Ovis aries: one gene and its partner. The protein of the gene in region 1 interacts with the protein of each later gene in a pairwise test. Links are inferred from orthologs where the notes say so. Each region holds a gene or a part of one and is shown in the gene's direction. Other genes may lie near its edges. The genes, in order: PRR3 and ASF1A.

Region 1 (3,917 bases):
GAGCTCCCGCCGCCTCAACTGACTCCCCCCGGGGCAGCCCCCGCCGCAAGGGCCCGGGACCCTGGAGGGGGCGGGGCTGAAGGTGACGTCAGCGGGCGGGCCCGGCCGCTGCGCCCGGGCGGCCCGGGTGGAAGACAACGGGGAAATACAGTCACTTCCCAGTGAGAGCGAGGCGAGAGGATGATGCAGGGTAGGCTACCCGCACGTGAGAGCCAGTGGCACGGAGAGGGCGCTGCGGCGGCGAGGAAGGAGGCGCGCGTGGGAGGATCGGGCTAACTTCGTCACGGACGCTACCAACTCGCCTTCAGAGGAGGGGGGACGCGTGTCATCACTACCTTGCGCGCCGGGGAGAAGCTACCACTCACCTGGAGGGGGCGGTGGAGCGGAGGGCGGGTCCTACCACCTGGGGAGAAAGGGGCGTGGACGCGCATAAGCTACTTTACCAATCCTCCAGCTGGGCCTTAGAGGAAAGGCGCGACTGCGCATCCCGGGAAGGAAGCAGAGTTACTGAACTACACTGGGGGCCGGGTCAGAGGTCTTGAAGGGTGGGTGGCGGTCTGGAGAGCCCTGGGCAGCGCCCTGCTGGGACCCAAATTCCTTGTGGGAATGATGATAAGGAGCAGGCTTACAGATCATAAATGCAAGCGCCGCCGAGGAGAGAAACCCAGGTGGGACAAGGATTTTGGGAGGGAGGTCATAGGGCACCAAGTTGTGCCTGCAGCTGTTACCATAGAAACCGGGGACCGGATATGGCGATCTCAAGATGCGACAGCCTTCTCTTATCAGGCCTTCTGGCCCGAGAGTCGACTCTATGGCAGGCTGTGAGGAGCAGCCGGTTGTGGATTTTCTTTCAGCGAGGGGAGGAGCGAGCAACTTTTTCAAAGCGTTTATAGCAACGCAGCAAAGGAAAGGTTTGAGATTGCTGCCCTGCCTGGCAGAGACTGCGGGAGGCGGCTGATGCGAGAAGAACCGCACAAAGATTCTCCGCAGCCTTCCGGAAGTGAAATGGCGGGAGCCTCAGCCTCAGTGTCCACCGCCCCCCCCGGAAGCGGAAACAGAATCCCAGCGTGCCCCTTCCTCACTGCCCTCCAAATCCCGCTGCAGCCATTGCCGCAACCACGATGCCGAAACGAAAGAAGCAGAATCAGCAGCAGCAACTGCAGCAGCAGCCCCCACTGCCAGAGCGGGATGAGACTGGAGACGAGGAGGATGGGAGCCCCATCGGTGAGGAGCCCCGGAGGGGTGCGCACATGCCTGTCAGCCTGTCGAGGCGAAGGGTTAGAGGCTGAAAATATGCGGGGGAGAGGGGTCTAACGGGAGGAAGGGCGCACGCGCTGGGGCGGGGGCCGGGGGGGGGGAGCCTGTGTGGGATGGAACACTAAATGAGTTCTCTTTCTTGAATCCTCAACTTCAAACTGGCCTCTAACCCTTTGTAAAGAAGGGAGAGGAGATAAAGAACTTATGTGCGCAGCCGCAAAACGTCAGAGGGAGAGGGGCCCTAGAGAAGTTGCAGATTGCGATGACTGGGATGACAGTTTGTGACCACACTTGCATGGGGAAGGTGGAAGTAGAGCTTTCTGTGAACTCCTTGCGGATAGGGTTAAAGGAGAGGTATCTGACTGGCCAGCAGTTAAAGAGAGGGATTGGTTTTATCTCAGGAGTCACTTGGGATCTATTGGATAGCAACAATGTAAGGGAGAGAGAAAGTTTGTAGGTATCGTTTTCTCATTATACGCCGTGACAGGGCTGAGTCTCCACTTTGCAAATCCTGAAAATGCTTTGGAAATAGATGGGCGTCAGAACCCATAACACTGTTGAGAATATACCTGGCTTTACTGGTTAGATTAAGAAATGAGTAGTAGAAGGAAAGCATATAAGAACAGGATCATCAGTTTTTTAGTCCATTCTGATGACCATATTTTCATGTCTACTCTTAGGACCACCCAGCCTTCTGGGCCCTCCCCCCATGGCCAATGGAAAGCCTGGTGACCCCAAGTCAGGTGAGAAGAAAGGGGCCCTGATCCTTTGATTAGGTCGTGAAAAGGGAGCAAGGGAGGGACTAAAACCCACAAGGGATGTAAAAAAAAGATCAAGAATTCGGTACTTAAATGAAAAACTCAATGCTGTAAAATGACAGTTCTTCCAAAATTGACCCATAGATCCATTGCATTCCCACTTATAATCCCTACAATGTTTTTGTAGAAATAAGCATTCTGCATTATTATATGGAAATGCAAAGGATCAGGGTGAGAAATTGCAAAGACAATTTTTTAAGGGGAAGGGCTTACTCTGAATATCAAGACTTATCTTAAAGCTGTAGCAGTTATGGCAGTGTGGTATTGGTCCAAAAAGAGACATATAAATTAACAGAATGGCATAAAGAGTCCAGTAACAGGCCCACACACATATGGTCATTTCATTCTTGAAGATGGGATTGAAATAGTGGCCTTTTCAGCAAATCATGGCAGGTTAATTGGATATTCATGGGTAAAGAAGTAATTTCAGAAAACAAATGTATTTCATGGTCTTAAAGTAGATTAGAGTTTTTAAACAGACAAGCAACACACTAAGCATAAAGGAAAAATAAACTGAATTACATTAGGAAATACGAACTTCTATTAATCAAATCACATCATTAAGTTAATAGGAAGCCATAGAGTAGAAGATACTTGCAACAAATATAACCAATAAAGAGTTAAAATTTTGAACATATAAAAAACTCTCTGACAATCTGTTAGAAAAGTGGGCAAAAGACTAGAACAGCCACCTAATAAAAACTGAGATCTAAATGGCCAAAAACATGAACAAGAACACAGCATCATTAGTCATCAGATAAGGGCAAGATAAAAGCATATAACTTGGAAACCAAACCCTTTGTGTACTGTTGATGGGATTGTAAAGTGGTGAAACCACAATGGAAAACAGTATGGAGATTCTTCAAAAAATTAAAATAGAACTACTATGTGATCCAGCAGTTCCACTTCTGGGTGTTTACCAAGAAGAGTGGAAAGCAGGATCTTGAAGAGGGAGTCACACCCCATGTTCATAGCAGCACTATGCACGGTAGACAAGATATGGAAGCCGCCAGATGCCCATCGATGGATGATGGGTAAACAGAGTGTGGTATGATCATGTAATGGAATGTGATTCTGCCCTCAAAAGAAGAAAGTCCTGTAGCAGGCCACAGCGCCGATGAACCTTGACGCTAAGCCAGTCACACAAAAAAATGCTGTATGGTTCCACTGATCTGAAGTATATAAAGTAACTAAATTCATACTAACAGAAAGTAGAATGGTACTTGCCAGAAGCTGGGGCGAGGAGAGGGAAAGAGTTGTTTAGAAGCTACTGAGTTTCAGTTTTGCAAGATGAAAAGTTCTGGAGATCTGTTTTCCAATAACAAGAAATTACTTAACACTACAGAGATACACACTTAAAGTACTAAAGTGGAAAGTTTTATGTTAGTTACAATCACAATTTCAAAACAAAACACTGCTTTTCACACCCACCAGAATGGCAAAGATGAAAAAGATTGTTACCAAGTGTTGTCAAGGAATAACAGCTTGTTTATGGTGGTAGTGGGAGTGTGAATAGGAACAACCCAAGTTTCGAATTTCTTAAACGTAAGCATACATATATTCAAGGATCCAATAATACCTCTACCACATATATACTCAACAAAAATGCATCCACGTGTGTACCGAAGACTTATATAAAAATGTTCATAGCAGCATTTTTTTTGTTATATCCCCACACTATAACAAAAATGTGGAATCTAGTAGCATGTCCACCATCAGTAGAATGGCTAAATCAGTTGTGTGTACATGTAGTGGAATACCACACTGCAGAGAAAATGAAGGAACTCCTGCTACGAGCAACCTGGATGAAGGTCATAAACACTATGTTGAATCAAAGGATCC
Region 2 (3,917 bases), on another chromosome or scaffold:
ATAACTTTCTCTGAATTTAATTAACCAAGTGGTTTCATTCAAAATACCTGAAAAATGATGGTTTATGCAGCAGGGAAAAAAATCCCTTTATATTGCTCTTATTTAGAAAATAGAAACAGCTCAACAACCTTACACAAAATGTATTACAAGCTCTCCCTTTCCTACAAAGGTAGTCAAGAACAAACTGACGCTGAATGTCGAATAATCAAGTAAAGATTCCTCTGAACTTGCTCGTGGTGCCATACATTTTTACTTACTAACGGTTTAGGTCATGACTTTTTGGAAAATTGCACGTCTTGGTATGCTTTCGTGGTCTCTACTCGCCTTTTGCCTTTTCTGCTTGTATCTGTTGTCTTTACGGTCTTCTGATACTTGCATTTTCTCCTTTTTATGTTCCTGCTGTGTCCTCCGAACAGGAGAAACCGGGTATAAGTGATCCAACCTCAAGTCATCTTTTTATTCTAGACTTTCCAGACTGGAACGGGAGAAAGACGACCCTGGTGCAGCCCAAATACTACCTATTCCACAAAGTGTGGGTGGAAAAGCGTTTCCTCGCCCTTCATTTTGTATCTACTTAACTAACGGCGCTGTCGTGCCCAAACGTAGAGATTGGCCAAGAACTAGATTTCCAAAATGGCTTTGCTCCTTTTGAGCTGACATCAGTCTATAAAATGCAATTTACTTCCCCTGCAACCAACCTTCCCTCTAACCCAAATATTACCCAGTACACAGACAACTGAACCTAACCTAGTGTAGACAACGGATTCGCATCTCCTAAATTCAGTAGAGAGCCGACACAGCCGTCGGACTAATGTGAAGAGTCAGAAGGGGGAGTGGGGGAGACACAGAACAAACCCGTTACACAAACCCCAGAGGCGGGTGTCGCCAGGATCGCGCCCTCCCGTCGCCGTGCCCACGGCGAGCACGCCTTCCCGCCGTGGCCACGCCTCCTGCCGCCTCGCCGTGGCCACGCCTCCCTCGACCCCGCCCCGCTGCGGCCACGCCCGACGTGAGGCGCGGGAGCCGCCGGGCCGGGGGCGGGGCCTGCGCCGCCCCTCCCCCCGCCGCCGCCGCCGCCGCTGCCGCCGGCGGCCTCCGCGCGGGCCTCCCAGCCCGTATTCCACTCACTTTGTTCTCCGCCTTTGTCCTAATCCACACCAGCAGGTGGAGCCGCAGTTAAAGTTTCCGAGTCCATTCCGGGAGCGGGAGCCCATCTTGCTCGCCGCGGAGGCCCTCGCTGGAGGAGGAGGGTCAGAGCTCGGGTGCAGCCAATCGCGGGCAACGCTGCTAGTTATCAGAGCAGAATGGGCTGTAGTTTAGTGAAATAGGAAAGCTGCAAAACACTGTGGAGTGTTCCCGTGTAAATAAAAAGAGGAAAAAAAAGTTTCTCAAGTCGCCGCTGCACGACGTCGGGCCGGCGCCGGGGCGGGGGTCTGCGCTCTCCCGAGCGGCCGCGCGCTGGACTTTATTGTGCCGCAACGAGCCCCCCGTCCCCATTGTTTGTGTTTTTTTCAAAATATGGCAAAGGTTCAGGTGAACAATGTAGTGGTGCTGGATAACCCTTCTCCCTTCTACAACCCATTCCAGTTCGAGATCACCTTCGAGTGCATCGAGGACCTGTCTGAAGGTGAGTCGGGCGCCCGCCCGCCGCCGGGCTGTCAGTTGCGGGCTGCAGACGTTGAAAGTTTCCCGGGCCCGGCCTCACGCGGGCGGCCGGGGCTCGGCGCCGAGCGGGCTGCGGGCTCGGCTTTGCGGAGGGAAACTTGAAGTTGATGGACGACGGCCGGCCAGGCGCGCGCGGCGTTCGGCCGCCGCCGGGGCGCCTGCCGCGGCTCAACTTGCGAGGAACTTGTTCGAGCGGAGGTAGCCATGTTGTCAGCTTTGTCTGGCGGGCGGGCGCTTCGCGAGACCCGCACTCGCGCCCGCGGCGCCGGCCGGGGGTCGCGCCGGGCTGGCCCCGGGCACCCAACGGCCTCCGCGGCCCCGGCGAGGAGGTGGGAAGGCAGAGGCATGTGTGTGGTCGGCGCCGGCGAGTTCGCAGCGGAGCCATCTTACCGAGAGTAGAGAATTGGGCCACCGACCCCGGCGTCACGACGCCTCCTCTCCGCGGGTGACGAGCGCGGCGCCCCGCCTGCCCACCTTCCTGCCCCCGAGCAAGAGGCACGTCCATTTTTAGCGCTCACGCTGGAGTTACCGGACTCTCCGGGGTGGCCATGCCCGGCCGCTTCGGGGAGGGGAGCGAGGCTGTCCTCGCGCTGATTTCTGGTTCCGTGGACCAACCAGTGGGGGAGGCGGGCGCAGGCTCGGCCCCTCGGCGCCACGGGCCGGCGCTCTCCGGGGGCCGCGGGTGCTCCCGGGCCGGCGCTCCCCAGCCGGCACCCAGGATGCTCGGGGCGCCCGGGGATGCTGGCGCGCAGGCTCGCCCCGAGCAACGTGGGCTCCTCATCCTTGGTGACTGAAATCTAATCTTCTCTCTCTCAGGAAGAAACATATTGCTAAGCTAGCAAGTTACATTTAACCTGAGAGCAGAAATAAGTAAAATATTTAAATAATTTCCAGGACTTGATCACTGGCTTCTAAGTAGTCTGAAAGACTTCCTTCAAGAACGTGTTGAAATCTAATTACAGCAAGTCCACATCCAAATACCCTGAACATAAAACACAAAAGTGGGCTAGGAAATAAAGTCCTGATGGCAATGCAAAATTTAATTTTTTTTTTCTAAGTACGTTTTAAGGTCCTCAGAAAGACATATAGCATGTGCGGTAAGAAATTCAGAAAGCTAAAATTTGCCAAGGTCTTTCCGATTTTATTAAAACCATCCAGTGCTCCATTTTCAAAATTTCAAGGGGAAAAAAAAGTTTAACTTCATCGATGGTAATTTTACAGCTAAATAGGGGACAGGCTTTTTTTGAACTTACAATTATGTTTAGCAAAATTCATCTTAAATTATATGCTAATCAAGGCATGTAAAGCATTTTCACTTTAAAAATTATCCTTTAATCCCTGTATAATGTATTTTAGGTAGTGTGTAAACTATTTCAATTACAAAAACCAACATATGCTCATTGTAATAAACTTTTTAAAAGTTGTTCATACATATATAAAGTAACACTCCTCTGTACTCAATACCTTCCGCCAACATGTCACTCAAAAGTAACCATAATTACCACTTTAGTATGTGCTGTTCCATACACTGTAGTTTTACTACAAATATAAAGCACATATGCACATACGAAAGTAGGCACATTTTGAAAGACAATTCATTTATTAAACTAATTCTTAAATGGGCTGTTGCTAATAAAAATTAAAGGGGGTTTTCCTTATTACCGAACTTTGAAACTATTTGGTTACTAAAGTACTGCCATAAGCATTTCAGCCACTAGGCCCATTTTCATGCCCACTAGACATTTTTTTGGTTTTACTATCAACTGCATATAAAAATGGACAAATGCAAGAGAAATACAATAAATGAGTCCCTTCCAATTTATACTACAGTGTTTTAGGCATTAGAACTTCTTGAAATTACTGGTATTTCTCAAGTGATATCTTCCATTTTAGGAGCGAGTTCTCAACAAGGAAGTTAGATGATTCAGGATGTTGTTACAGGGCTTTGACAATGGATGGCTGAAACCTGCCATTGATGTGTTCTGTTTGTAATGGGATCTTTTCAGAACCAAGCTGAATCCTATCAATTTTTACAGTACTGATGTCAGGAATACACCTTACTTTGACTTGTCTACCTCACTTCCCAGGTACTTATACTGGGCATTTATTTAGTACTTTTTAGGAGTTTAAGCTGAGTCATACTGAAGCTGCAAAGGAATCTTTCAAAAAGGTGCCATGCTTATGTACTCCACCTAGAGGCTGTGTGGATTAAGGAAATAGAGTTTACTTAGTAAAGACTTCTTATAGTCCCA

The links.
Region 2: the proteins of PRR3 (region 1) and ASF1A interact in binary tests that used the Homo sapiens proteins (3 or more experiments, as listed by UniProt). The two-hybrid records come from large-scale screens. The link is inferred for Ovis aries from reciprocal best matches to the Homo sapiens genes PRR3 and ASF1A.

The regions. Positions count from the first base shown.
Region 1 is NC_056073.1:27,533,068-27,536,984, reverse strand, and holds the start of PRR3 (proline-rich protein 3), read left to right. Parts: upstream 1-1,080; 5' UTR 1,081-1,121; coding exon 1,122-1,224; intron 1,225-1,937; coding exon 1,938-2,000; intron 2,001-3,917.
Region 2 is NC_056061.1:19,404,911-19,408,827, reverse strand, and holds the start of ASF1A (histone chaperone ASF1A), read left to right. Parts: upstream 1-1,288; 5' UTR 1,289-1,518; coding exon 1,519-1,627; intron 1,628-2,785; exon of another isoform or gene 2,786-3,917. UniProt on the Homo sapiens protein: Histone chaperone that facilitates histone deposition and histone exchange and removal during nucleosome assembly and disassembly.